3 linked regions of the Nothobranchius furzeri genome follow. The protein of the gene in region 3 interacts with the protein of the main gene of each other region in a pairwise test. Links are inferred from orthologs where the notes say so. Each region holds a gene or a part of one and is shown on either strand. Other genes may lie near its edges.

The links.
Region 1: the proteins of pdlim7 (region 3) and zmynd11 interact in a two-hybrid assay, tested with the Homo sapiens proteins (2 studies listed by BioGRID). The link is inferred for Nothobranchius furzeri from reciprocal best matches to the Homo sapiens genes PDLIM7 and ZMYND11.
Region 2: the proteins of pdlim7 (region 3) and enkd1 interact in binary tests that used the Homo sapiens proteins (3 or more experiments, as listed by UniProt). The two-hybrid records come from large-scale screens. The link is inferred for Nothobranchius furzeri from reciprocal best matches to the Homo sapiens genes PDLIM7 and ENKD1.

What each region holds. Positions count from the first base shown.
Region 1 is NC_091751.1:36,836,362-36,839,888, forward strand, and holds the end of zmynd11 (zinc finger MYND domain-containing protein 11), read right to left. Parts: intron 2,249-3,527; coding exon 2,168-2,248; intron 2,061-2,167; coding exon 1,782-2,060; intron 1,701-1,781; coding exon 1,515-1,700; intron 1,084-1,514; coding exon 961-1,083; 3' UTR 568-960; downstream 1-567. UniProt on the Homo sapiens protein: Chromatin reader that specifically recognizes and binds histone H3.3 trimethylated at 'Lys-36' (H3.3K36me3) and regulates RNA polymerase II elongation. Does not bind other histone H3 subtypes (H3.1 or H3.2).
Region 2 is NC_091757.1:55,620,108-55,623,858, reverse strand, and holds the end of enkd1 (enkurin domain-containing protein 1), read left to right. Parts: coding exon 1-120; intron 121-394; coding exon 395-567; intron 568-641; coding exon 642-785; intron 786-2,238; coding exon 2,239-2,381; intron 2,382-2,482; coding exon 2,483-2,619; intron 2,620-2,724; coding exon 2,725-2,885; 3' UTR 2,886-3,322; downstream 3,323-3,751. Other genes in the region: polb (DNA polymerase beta), read left to right, coding at 3,527-3,587. UniProt on the Homo sapiens protein: Microtubule-binding protein which regulates microtubule organization and stability. Promotes the stability of astral microtubules and facilitates the proper orientation of the mitotic spindle.
Region 3 is NC_091741.1:103,112,349-103,115,999, forward strand, and holds part of pdlim7 (PDZ and LIM domain protein 7), read right to left. Parts: intron 2,358-3,651; coding exon 2,177-2,357; intron 2,069-2,176; coding exon 1,948-2,068; intron 1-1,947. UniProt on the Homo sapiens protein: May function as a scaffold on which the coordinated assembly of proteins can occur. May play a role as an adapter that, via its PDZ domain, localizes LIM-binding proteins to actin filaments of both skeletal muscle and nonmuscle tissues.

The sequences.
Region 1 (3,527 bases), on a different chromosome or scaffold from region 3:
AACATTCACAGAAAATTCATCAAATCTCTGTGGAGAAAGCATAGACAGAAGGAGCGAGAACGGTTTACACAGAACTGTAAAACAAAAACAAGCAGGCAATTTGATTGCCTCCATTATAAAACAAACGGGGAAAGGAACATCCTTTTGGATTTTGTTCTGATTGGCTCTCCAGTCGCACCAGAAAGCTTCTGGTTTTGTTTCACTGATGATGGAAATGTTCACGATGCTGAAGAGGGATTTAGACGATGAGAAACAAACCAAAACAGCAGCAGCTTCACTTCTTCAGACTCTAAACACAAACCAAGAATTCTGAGTGTTTCGCAACATCAACGAGCTTCTCAGGTCAAATCTGGAATAAAACCTGGATTTTTGGGGGAGGGATTTCAATAGCTAAAAATAAAATAAACTCCAAAATTAACTTTAAGGAAACATCTAATTTTAACTGAGACTTGTGAAAAGACCCTGTTCCCAGTGACGACAAGCTAACAGACTCAGGCAGAAATCATCACGGTTCTATTCACCCCAATCCGTTTACGGAGAGCAAAAAGGTGTAAGACTTTAAAGTCGTAAAATCTGCGACAGTCATTTTATTGTGTTGGTATTTAAACAGGCTTGCTGCATTTACAGTAAAAAGTTCAGGTAATAAAATGTTTTTGAGCAATACTCACGTCGTGTTTCTACACTTAAATAACAAAATCAGCACTTCAGTAAAGAAAACATACGAGTTAAAAATGTAGATCATCACCACAACTCGGGTCGGAGCCACGCTCTCGAGAAAACAAACCAGAAAACAAACATAAAAAAAAGCTACATTAAATAACAGGAATTGTCTCGCTGTGACGCAGAACCCTTCGGGAAGGCGAGGGGAGGAGAATTCTGTGTGTGTGTTGGACATAGACAAGAGGGGGAAGCTGAGAACCAATCAGGAGTTGGAAGCGGTTAGAAATGGGCGGGGCTTGTTCATCTCTTCCTGCGGCAGGTTCGTTTGTGGTCGGCGTGCCAGTGCTCCTGCTGACACTTGATGGAGCAGTAGGAGGTGTTCCAGCAGCAGTGGTACATGGCCTCCTCTTCACAGTTGTAACACTGGGAGGACGACACACAGCTCCAGTTAGTAACCAGCCCCCAAACCAGTACCTCACAGGGCTTCGCTCTCGTCTCTACCGGATTTTAAAATTTAATCGTTTTATCTCCAAATAATCCCAAAGTCCTGACCGAGTTCCCCGATCAGAAGGCCAGAGGAAAGTGGCTTCAAGAAAATTAGTGATTAAAGTTCTGACATTAAATCAGTCTGGAAATAAAATAAGAATAAATATACAACAAAAGACATTAAAAAGTCATATATTCTTAAATTAGTCAGAGTCAGTGAGACTAAAACAGGAAACATGAAAATAATAAAATCATCATGAATTTAAATCCCAACATAATTCCAGCCGACGTTAAATCTAAAAACTCTAAATAAAGGAAAACGAGTCGAGTTCTCCTCGTGAACAGAGACGGGTGACCTCTGAACTCACCCACTGCTTCTTCTTGGTCTGGGAGATGAGCTGCTTGTGTTGAGCCACCAGCTTCTTCACCTCCTCCACCAGCTCCTCTTTACACTTCTCCTTCACCTGTTTACACTTCCTCTCCATCTCCACCTGCACTCCAGACACCGCCTTGCTCACCGCCTGCCGCTTCTCCTCCTCCATCTCAGCACGCAGCTGAAGGGACGGAAAACAGGAAGTGACATCTCAAAGTCCACAGAGGTATCCTGAATATCCTCCCGGGGCATCCAAACCAACCTTCTCCAGAGCTTCTCGGACCACCCGCTCCGTCTCCCTCTTGTTGTCGGCCTTCATCATCTCCTTGACATCGTTAAAAACCTTGGTGTACTTCTCGTGGCACATGTTCTGGCAGGCGCCGTCGCTGTTGGTCTGAGTGCTGCGGTGCAGCATGCGCGGCGACCCCCCGCTGGCCTTCTTGGTCTGCGTGGACACGGACAGCTTCTCAGGCTGCTGAAGAGCTGATGACACAGGGATCTCCTGGCTGGAGCTGACCGCCTCCATCTCAGGCTCCGGGTCCTGATGGAGCAGAACCAACGCTGTTGCATTATCTCCACCTTCACTAAGCTTTCTCAACACAGAAATCTTTAACAGGTAATTAATAATGGGAAAAGAAAAGACCGTACACGTACACTGGCTTCCTCTTTAGGCTCAACTATTTGAGTCCGACGGCTTTTCTTCGCTTTGGGCTCCAGGCTGATTTTCATCTGCAGGAAAATAATAATTAAAGTACATTAATCTGGGATTAAAAATTTTTTAACATAAATTAATCTGAGATAAAAACATATAATTTATGGATTCTCATGTCAGTTTTCTTGTTCACTCTTCCTTCTTCCATCTCAGGAACATTGCTAAGCTGAGTCCCATTCTGTCCTGCTCTGAACTTGAGACTGTTCTCCGCTAGGGTTGTCACGGTAACCGGTGCAGCGGTAAACCCCAGTAAAAAAGTTGACAGTAATAACCTTCTTGTTTTTTAAAAAATATGTATTATCTTGGTGGATTACCGTGGCTGCGGTGTAGGCGCGGTGACCCTTACCAGCCACCGTATCATCTGCAGAAGTTGCCGGTGGCACATGCACACTTTGTTGTTTACAACCAAAACTTTCTTGAAGCTAAAGCTGAAATAATGGCCAAAGGAGGAGATGGCAGGGCTCAGGACATTTATCATCCCTCAAAGAAGACAAAGTGGGAAGTGCAGGCATTTTTTGGATATTTGAAGAGTGCCGAAGGACAGTTTATAGACGACGGCTATCCTGTTTGCAGCACGTGCAGAAAAAGTGTCTGTGAAAGGCAGCAACGCTTCAAATCTCATGACACATCTGCGTGACCATCACCCACAACTCTACAGTCAACGCAAGGCAAGTTAACGTTAGCGTTTTAGCTAAAATGTGTGATCCGAGGATTTGGGTTGAGGGAGAACGCAACGAGTCGCTATATAAAGCAGCCGCAGCGCCGCTACCTGCATATAAACCGTGTCGCGGACACCGCCAAATTGAAATGACGCTATGCATTACGGGGCTCCCAGGGGCAGATAAGAGTTGGTCTCTCTCCGAGAATAATTATGAATTTAACAATGATTACTGCCTGATGACATTTTCCCAAATCTGCAAAGCTCACAGGAAGGACACAAACCGAGGACAATATTTTCCTGATATAAGGTTTATTACTCAAGTAAGGGTAAAAAAAAGTATCTAATTAGAAGGCTACTTGAGTACTGAGTATCATCTGATCTAATATTTTTAAATGATGACATCAAACAGACAAAAAATAAGAAGTTATGGGCAAACATTGCTATTTTAAAGACTAAAGGGAAAAAATGTAAACAAATAAACAACATAATTACAAAATAACAAATTTTAGGCTAAATTTAGACACAAACTGAGGACAATATTTTCCTGATATACAGGGTTTATTTAGTTGTCTGAAAATGTAAAACGTTTAAAAAAATACCGCGATAATACCGAAAACCGTGGTAATTTTGGTCAC
Region 2 (3,751 bases), on a different chromosome or scaffold from region 3:
TAATTCAACGTCCTCGCATCAATCCTAATGCAACTCATATTCTGGAACATGGACGAAAAGGACTTGTGGGAGAGCTACTGAAACTAGACGGTGTCTCTGTAACTCCAGTTCCCAAACAGAGTGAGAGTGACTGACTTACCAGAGTGGCTTGATTTCAATAGCTCTAATTGCTTTGGATAAATAGGTTAATTTTTCCTTATCCTTATTGAAAAATCCTGTACACAGAGTAGCAAAGCTTGTTTTTACCTTTTTTGCTAACAGTTTTGGCTCCTGCTGTCGCCTTCATCAGAGCCTCACCGATGTCTGTGGAGTTGCTTTTGACGCCGTTTATCTGCGTTAGCAAACCTTTAGCAGTAACTTTAATTCCAACCGCTTTTGTATTGTTTCCCTGTAGAACAAAAAGTACAAGACTTTCGTAAAGAAAATGTACGTCGGCTACGGGAGATCCAGAAACGCTGCAAAGAGCAGGAAGCTGAGAGGGCGCAGAGCGGCCCTGTTCCAGTTAAAGCTTTATGGACCTCCTCAAAATACCAGAACACCCCGTCTAAAGTGATGGCCCACCTAGAGGCAAGTTCAAAACTCTTTCGTGAGATAAAATTTTGCCTTGCAATTTTTCCACCTCATATGTTTCATTCGTTTAGGTTTCCAGTCCAGCTGTTAAGCCTCAGTGTCAAAACTTTCTAAAGGCCCATTCAAACTGTAGTTCTGCTTCACCTTCAAAATCTTCACCTGTAGTTGTGCAGCACCCAGCTTCCTGCAGCTCCACACAAGACCCAGACTTGAAGGTGGGAACAAACAAAACAAATATTTCTGTATTCAAAAAATTCCCAGGGGCAATTTGAATGTTTTACTTAAAGGTGCAATAGGTAGTGATTTTATAGGGAAATATTCACAAAACAGCCTAATGTCTCAATCACGTTGGAAGGAAGGTTACATTGAAACAATTTCCTGCTCAGCCGACTGGGTGGTTGCCAGTTTTCTTCCCTTGTTAAAAGGCTGCAAGGAGATGTAGTCTTTGTTTACAATCATCCTGCCTCCATGTTTCCTCGTTCCAGAGCCGTTCCCACTGGAACAGCAGTAGCTCAGGAGGTAGAGTGGGTTGTCCAGTAATCAGAAGTTGCAGGTTCGATCCAGGCTCTGACCAGAGAATGCTGTTGTTGTGTCTTTGGAAAAGATACTTAATCTTAATGGTCTCCCCAACAAACTCACTCATAAACTGCAACTGGTCCAGAATTCAGCAGCCCGTATTATCACCAGAAACCCTTCCTTTCACCACATCACCCCGGTTCTCCAGCAGCTTCACTGGCTCCCAGTTAAATTCAGGTCCATCTTCAAAATTCTCCTTCATACCTTCAAAGCAATCCACAACCTCTCTCCTCCATATATCTCAGACCTTATAAGTATTCACACCCCATCCCATCCTCTCAGATCTTCTTCTTCCATCCATCTTGCGGTTCCTTCTGCCCGTCTCACTACCATGGGGAGCAGAGCTTTCAGCCGCTCTGCTCCCCGTCTCTGGAACTCACTTCCCCCAGACATCAGGAACATCGACAGATTTACCCTTTTCAAAACAAAACTCAAAACACACATGTTTAAATCTGCCTACAACCTCTGATTTTATTGAACTGTTTCTCTCTGCTTTTTTTTTTCTTGTTTGGGTTTTATTGTTGTTTTATTGTATTTTACTACGTGTTTTCTGTCAAGTGACCTTGGGTGTTCTGAAAGGTGCTTTTAAATAAAATGTATTCATTCATTCATCTGCCTTGCCTGCTGGTGGTGCCAGTGTTTGGCAGGCCTCACCTCTGTCGGTGCGCCCCAGGGCAGCTGTGGCTACATCATAGCTCATCCCCATCAGCGTGTGAATGTGTGGGTAAATGGGTGAATGACTGATTGTGTTGTGTTGTGAAGTGCCTTGGGAGGTTGTAGATCTCTAAGAAGGCGCTATATCAAATACAGGCCATTTACCATTTGTATTTGAGCCTGCAAAGTTGCTTAGTCTTCAACGCAAACACTGCACCTGAGTTTGTAATTCAACACCAGCAGGCAAAGAACAACAGTGTTGTGAACAGATTGGAAGCCAGTAAACAGAAGCAGCCCAGAAGTTATTTCATGGACTGCAGTACCACAATTTGACCACAACATGTCATTCCTGTTTCATGAATTGTATTTGAAATTGAATGAGAAGCACATTTTCAACTTATATGTATCTGCAACTCTGTATGTTTTTTTTAAATAAAGTTACAGGTGCAAGGTCAGGCCATAGACTTCATAAAACATAACGCTCGGTCTGCTGGAAAAACTGTTGTCCGCCGATCCCAGTCTTTGACAAATCTCAGAGAAAACCCTGTGCCCAGTGCAATCAAAGGACAAGTACCACAGTAGTGAGTGATTTAACATCAGAGTGTACATTTAAATGAACCGACTGAGAAATAAATTTTATCTCTTTGATGTTTTTCTCCTGTCATTGATGTTCCCACACAAGTCTTGTGGAAAGGAAGGAGCAGTGGCGTAAGGAAAAGGAAGAGAAGAGGAGGAATACACCTGACCCTACAGTCCCAGCTGGTCACACCTTAATGCCGGAGAATGAGAGACAAGAGACACTAAAAACCCTAAAATCTAGTAAGTGTCCACCTTTGCAATGATACCAAAAGCATTTTGGTTGTGCCGTAAATACAATATGTACAACTATTTTCACATAACTAATTATGTCTTTTTTTTCCGTAGCCCATCGCTCCTTGGTGACTGAACTGCTCTCACTCCCGCTGAAAGCAGACAATCTGAGTGTTCGATCCCATCGGACTTATCTTGATTATAGGCTTTCTGAGATTGAAGAGGCCATTAAAATATTCTCTAGGGACAAAGTTTATGTAAAAAATGATTCTTAAAACATGAGGAGGACCAAGAATAGGTAGAATTTATCCTGTAAATTAACCATTTTGTTGAGATTTTTTTCACAATTTACTAAGTAACAGAATGAGGGATTTTATGGAAATGGTAATAATTAGTTAAGGAGGCATGTTTTATATGAAAGGTTTTATCTTTATTGTTACTGAATTTTAGTATCTTCCAAAACAATAACATATTTAAAGCACCTTATTTAAAAAAACGTTGCTTTATTGTGTAGGGGATAAGTAGCAGATATTCTGCAAATTTGAAATAAAAGGCTGTAATTACACTATTTACTGATAGACGCCAGCTATTTATATTTACTACTTTTTCTGTACATTGTATGTTTTTAATTACTGTGTAGATCGCAAACAATGTTCTATAATAAGTTTTTCACCAAAAATGTTGGTGAAAATGATCAATTTTTAATGAAAATACAAAAAGAACAATCCTGTTTGGGGGTCAGTAACGCATTGCGCATGCGCACACCTTTCTACGTATTAGGTCATTGTTCTGCGTGACCGTTGGCTAAAGTGCTAGCCGTAAGCTAACTGGAGATTTAAATTTCTTAAAACGTATTTTACCGGTTAGTAAAACTGTCTGGATTGCAGGGAGCATTCTAACGTATCTAAAATCCACAATGAGCAAGAGGAAAGCACCGCAAGAGTCCCTAAATGAGGGAATTACTGACTTTCTTGTCGGTACGTATGAGCTCAGCTAGCAGTAGTTAGCCTGACGGTCACTTTGTTTTAAAATGTAAATACTAAAACTTTCTAAATGAAACAAGTTTATGAAGCATGCATTCAGCAGTGCTGCTTCTTTCAAGCTGTTTTCTACTCAAATGTGTTTCTCTAAATTACTGTTT
Region 3 (3,651 bases):
TATTTGTGAATACTTTTTATATTTGATATTGTCCAGTTTAAGCAGACATCTGTTTATATCAGAGCTGAGCTGTGGGAGAAAATACTCAGGCTTATTTTATCGTATTTTCTATTATCTTTGGGTTTTGTGCATTCACTTAATATCAATTATAACATTATAAATAACAAGTCACTACAGTCTGGGCATAGAACGTGTTTCTATGAACTAAAGCTTGTTGGGTTAGGGTTAGCAGCAGCTCACCTCTTCCTATCACACTGACAGGAGAAATCCCCTCGTCAGCATCAGGCGGTCTATAGAGTGTCATGACTGAACCTCTCATTGTTACACCAGAGCTCGTCTCCATTGGCGCTAATTAGTGCGACTAGATTCTACAAAGATTTCATAAATAAACGCACAACTTAGATCTGTGGCTCGTATTTAACCAAAACCAGAGTGCACTATGGGAGCAAGACACCAGCTCCCGTGCAACACGTGATCAAATGGGAAGAGTCAAAGATTATACAGGAGTCAAGAGCAATTCCTGAATGTAAAAAATTGTAGTTTTTCTAGATAAATGTGGAGCAGAGTTTTTAACCTGAAGATGGAGATATAATTACGGTTGTGGGCTGAAATATTAAATTTGAAGTAAGTTGAACTTAACTGTGACACTAATGATTACACATGTCTACAGCACCATTACGACACTCATCTATACTGGTTATCAGCAAATAAAAAAAAGGTAACACTTTAGCTTAGGGAACACAAATTAACCATTAATTAGCTGCCAATTAATATGCGTATTAGTGGACTACTAAGTCTGAACTTGTCATTATTAAGCATTTATTAACTGCTTATTACTAATGCCGTAATTTTTGAATGCTGTAAAGTGATCCTGTTTCTCTTTATAGTTCAGCCTAATGACTCCTTACAGCTCCTCGTTGAATGCTGCAATGATGTGAAGAGCTGGCTGTCAGAAAACTTTCTTTTGCTGAACGATGCCAAGACAGAGGCCATCATTTTCAGCCCTAGGACTTCTCAAAGTCCCCAACTGACCCTTCCTTTTATCACAAGTGGGTTGAAAACCCATGTCACAAACTTAGGGGTTGTGATGGATGCAAAACTAAAAATGGACATTCATGTCAACCAGGAAGTTAAGACCTGTTTTTACCACCTGAGGCGTCTCTCTAAAGTTAAGTCCATTTTAAAAAGGCGTCATCTCCATTCAGTAGTCCATGCTTTCATTACCTCCCGTCTCGACTACTCTAACTCAGTGCTATATGGTATCTCCTCCTCCACTCTCGCTCGCCTTCAGCTTGTGCAGAACGCAGCAGCTCGATTCTTGACTGGCACCAGGCAGCGAGAACACATCACACCGGTTTTAGCAAATCTCCATTGGCTACCCATCCATCTCCGGATAGAGTTTAAGATCCTGGTTTTTGTGTTTAAATCCCTCAATACCTTAGCACCTGGCTACTTGTCTGAGCTCATTCACCCATATGCCCTTACAAGATCCCTCCGATCAGCTGACCAGCGCTTCCTACATGTCCCTAGCTCCTGCTGTAAATCCCGCTGGGAGCACGCCTTTTCAGTTTGTGCACCGAAGCTCTGGAACCACTTGCCCCTCCTGATCAGACTCTCGTCCTCTCTTTCCCTTTTTAAGTCTCGTTTAAAAACTCACTTTTATTCGTTGGACGTTAATTCAGTCTAACTTATTCTCTTTCTCCTTTTCTTTTCGATTTGAATGACTCAATTTTAATGGATTCACTTCTTTGTGCGTGTGGGCGCGCACATCTTCACAAAGCGGAGCACTGACTCCTCTCAGACATGCGGAAGTTGAACTCATCATATTTTAGAAATTAAATAGATGTGTTGCTGTTTAACACGTTTACTAGAAATCTTAAAAAACATAAAATGAAAACTTGGATTACATGATTAACTGCATTACATGCGTATGTGAATGTGTCTCACCTCTCTCACAGTATGGCTCACCCTCCTCCATGTAAAAAGCCTGATTCCGGATGGGAACTTTGCAGGCAGCACATTTAAAACATTGAACATGGTAGGTCATCTTCAGAGCGTGCATGATCTCCTGAAAACAGAAGTTTCACATGTTTATCTTTTTCCTTTTCTGGTCAAGCTAACTTTCTGGTTTGAAGTTTTCTGAAAGAACAGAAAAGAAAAAAATAGCAGCTCTTACTCCAGAAATCTTCTTCTTGCACTTGGCACAGGTCGAAGCATATCGGTTATCATGGCACTTTGTGCAGTAGACAGATCCTCTCTCCTCGAAGAAGCCCCCTTCCTCAAGAACTGCCTTACAATGAGAGCATGTAAACTCCTCTGGGTGCCAGGACTGACCCAGGGCCACCAGGTACCGACCCCTGGAGAAGATGAAAACACACAATTTTTATTTAATTATTTATTTAACCAGGTGAGGGACTCATTGAGATGTCAATTCTCATTCACAAAAGTGACAGGGGCCTTATTCATAAAAACAGGGTCTGAAAACTTCATAATTCAATTCAATTCAATTCAATTTTATTTATATAGCGCCAAATCACAACAAGAGTTGTCTCAAGGCACTTCACATAACAAACATTCCAATTCAGGTCAGTTCATTAAGCCATTCAAATTGCAGCAATCCTCATACTAAGCAAGCATAAAGCGACAGTGGAGAGGAAAACTCCCTTTTAACAGGAAAAAACCTCCAGAGAATCCTGGCTCAGTATAAGCAGCCATCCTCCACGACTCACTGGGGATGGAGAAGACAGAACAGGCACACACACACACACACACACACACACACACACACACACACACACAAAGACGAAGTAATTTGTCTATAGTTATATTGTGATTTCTTAGTAAATATTCCATTTGGTGAGAGATAAACTTTATTGTATGTATCCTAGTGGATCTATAATTAAACGGATAAACTAGTAGTAGCACATCCAGCATCAAGGAAAGCAAAAAGTTATTATCAGGAGAGGGAGAATGTTTAAGTGGTTAGCAGCAGTGTGCTAGATGATAGCCCCCTCCATGAGGCCACCACAGCTCAGCAGAACATCATTGTAGCTTCTTGTGGGGAGAAAAACACTTACCCCGGCTTTCCACAGCAGCCGTCAGCAGCACGTTACTGCAGCAGCACGTCATAGCTGCTGATAGGAACGGCTGTGGTCAACAGAACCTTTTCCACAGGAGCCGTCAGCAGCGCGAGTCGGCCGCGTCTCAGGAGCAGCATGTCGCGGCCTTTACGCGCCGGTTCTATTTCCTACGCGCGACGCCTCTGAAACGGGTCAAGTTTGACATTTTTGGGGAAGGAAAGACAGGAAATCGGACGCGGAAATGGAGAGAAGCTCCCGAGATTTTCAGAATAAAGAACGTACTGCCTTCCGGTCGCTTTACTTTAAAAAAGGTTACTAACTGTGCGGCCCCGTGAGAAGTTATCACCAACTAGCGGTCTCCTTTGTTTTTCAGGTCCGTATTGGCGATTATAAAATGGACAGAATATAAAAACACAAACATTTTGGAACCATGTTGTAGTTTTCTCCTGCTTGTTGTTGTGTTTACTGACGAAGTCACTCGTGTGACTTCGTGCCCTGTCGGTGACAGCTGCTCCTCTGCTGCGTCGCGTCTCGTGGGAAGGGCCAAGCAGCAGCTAGACGTGCTGCTGCA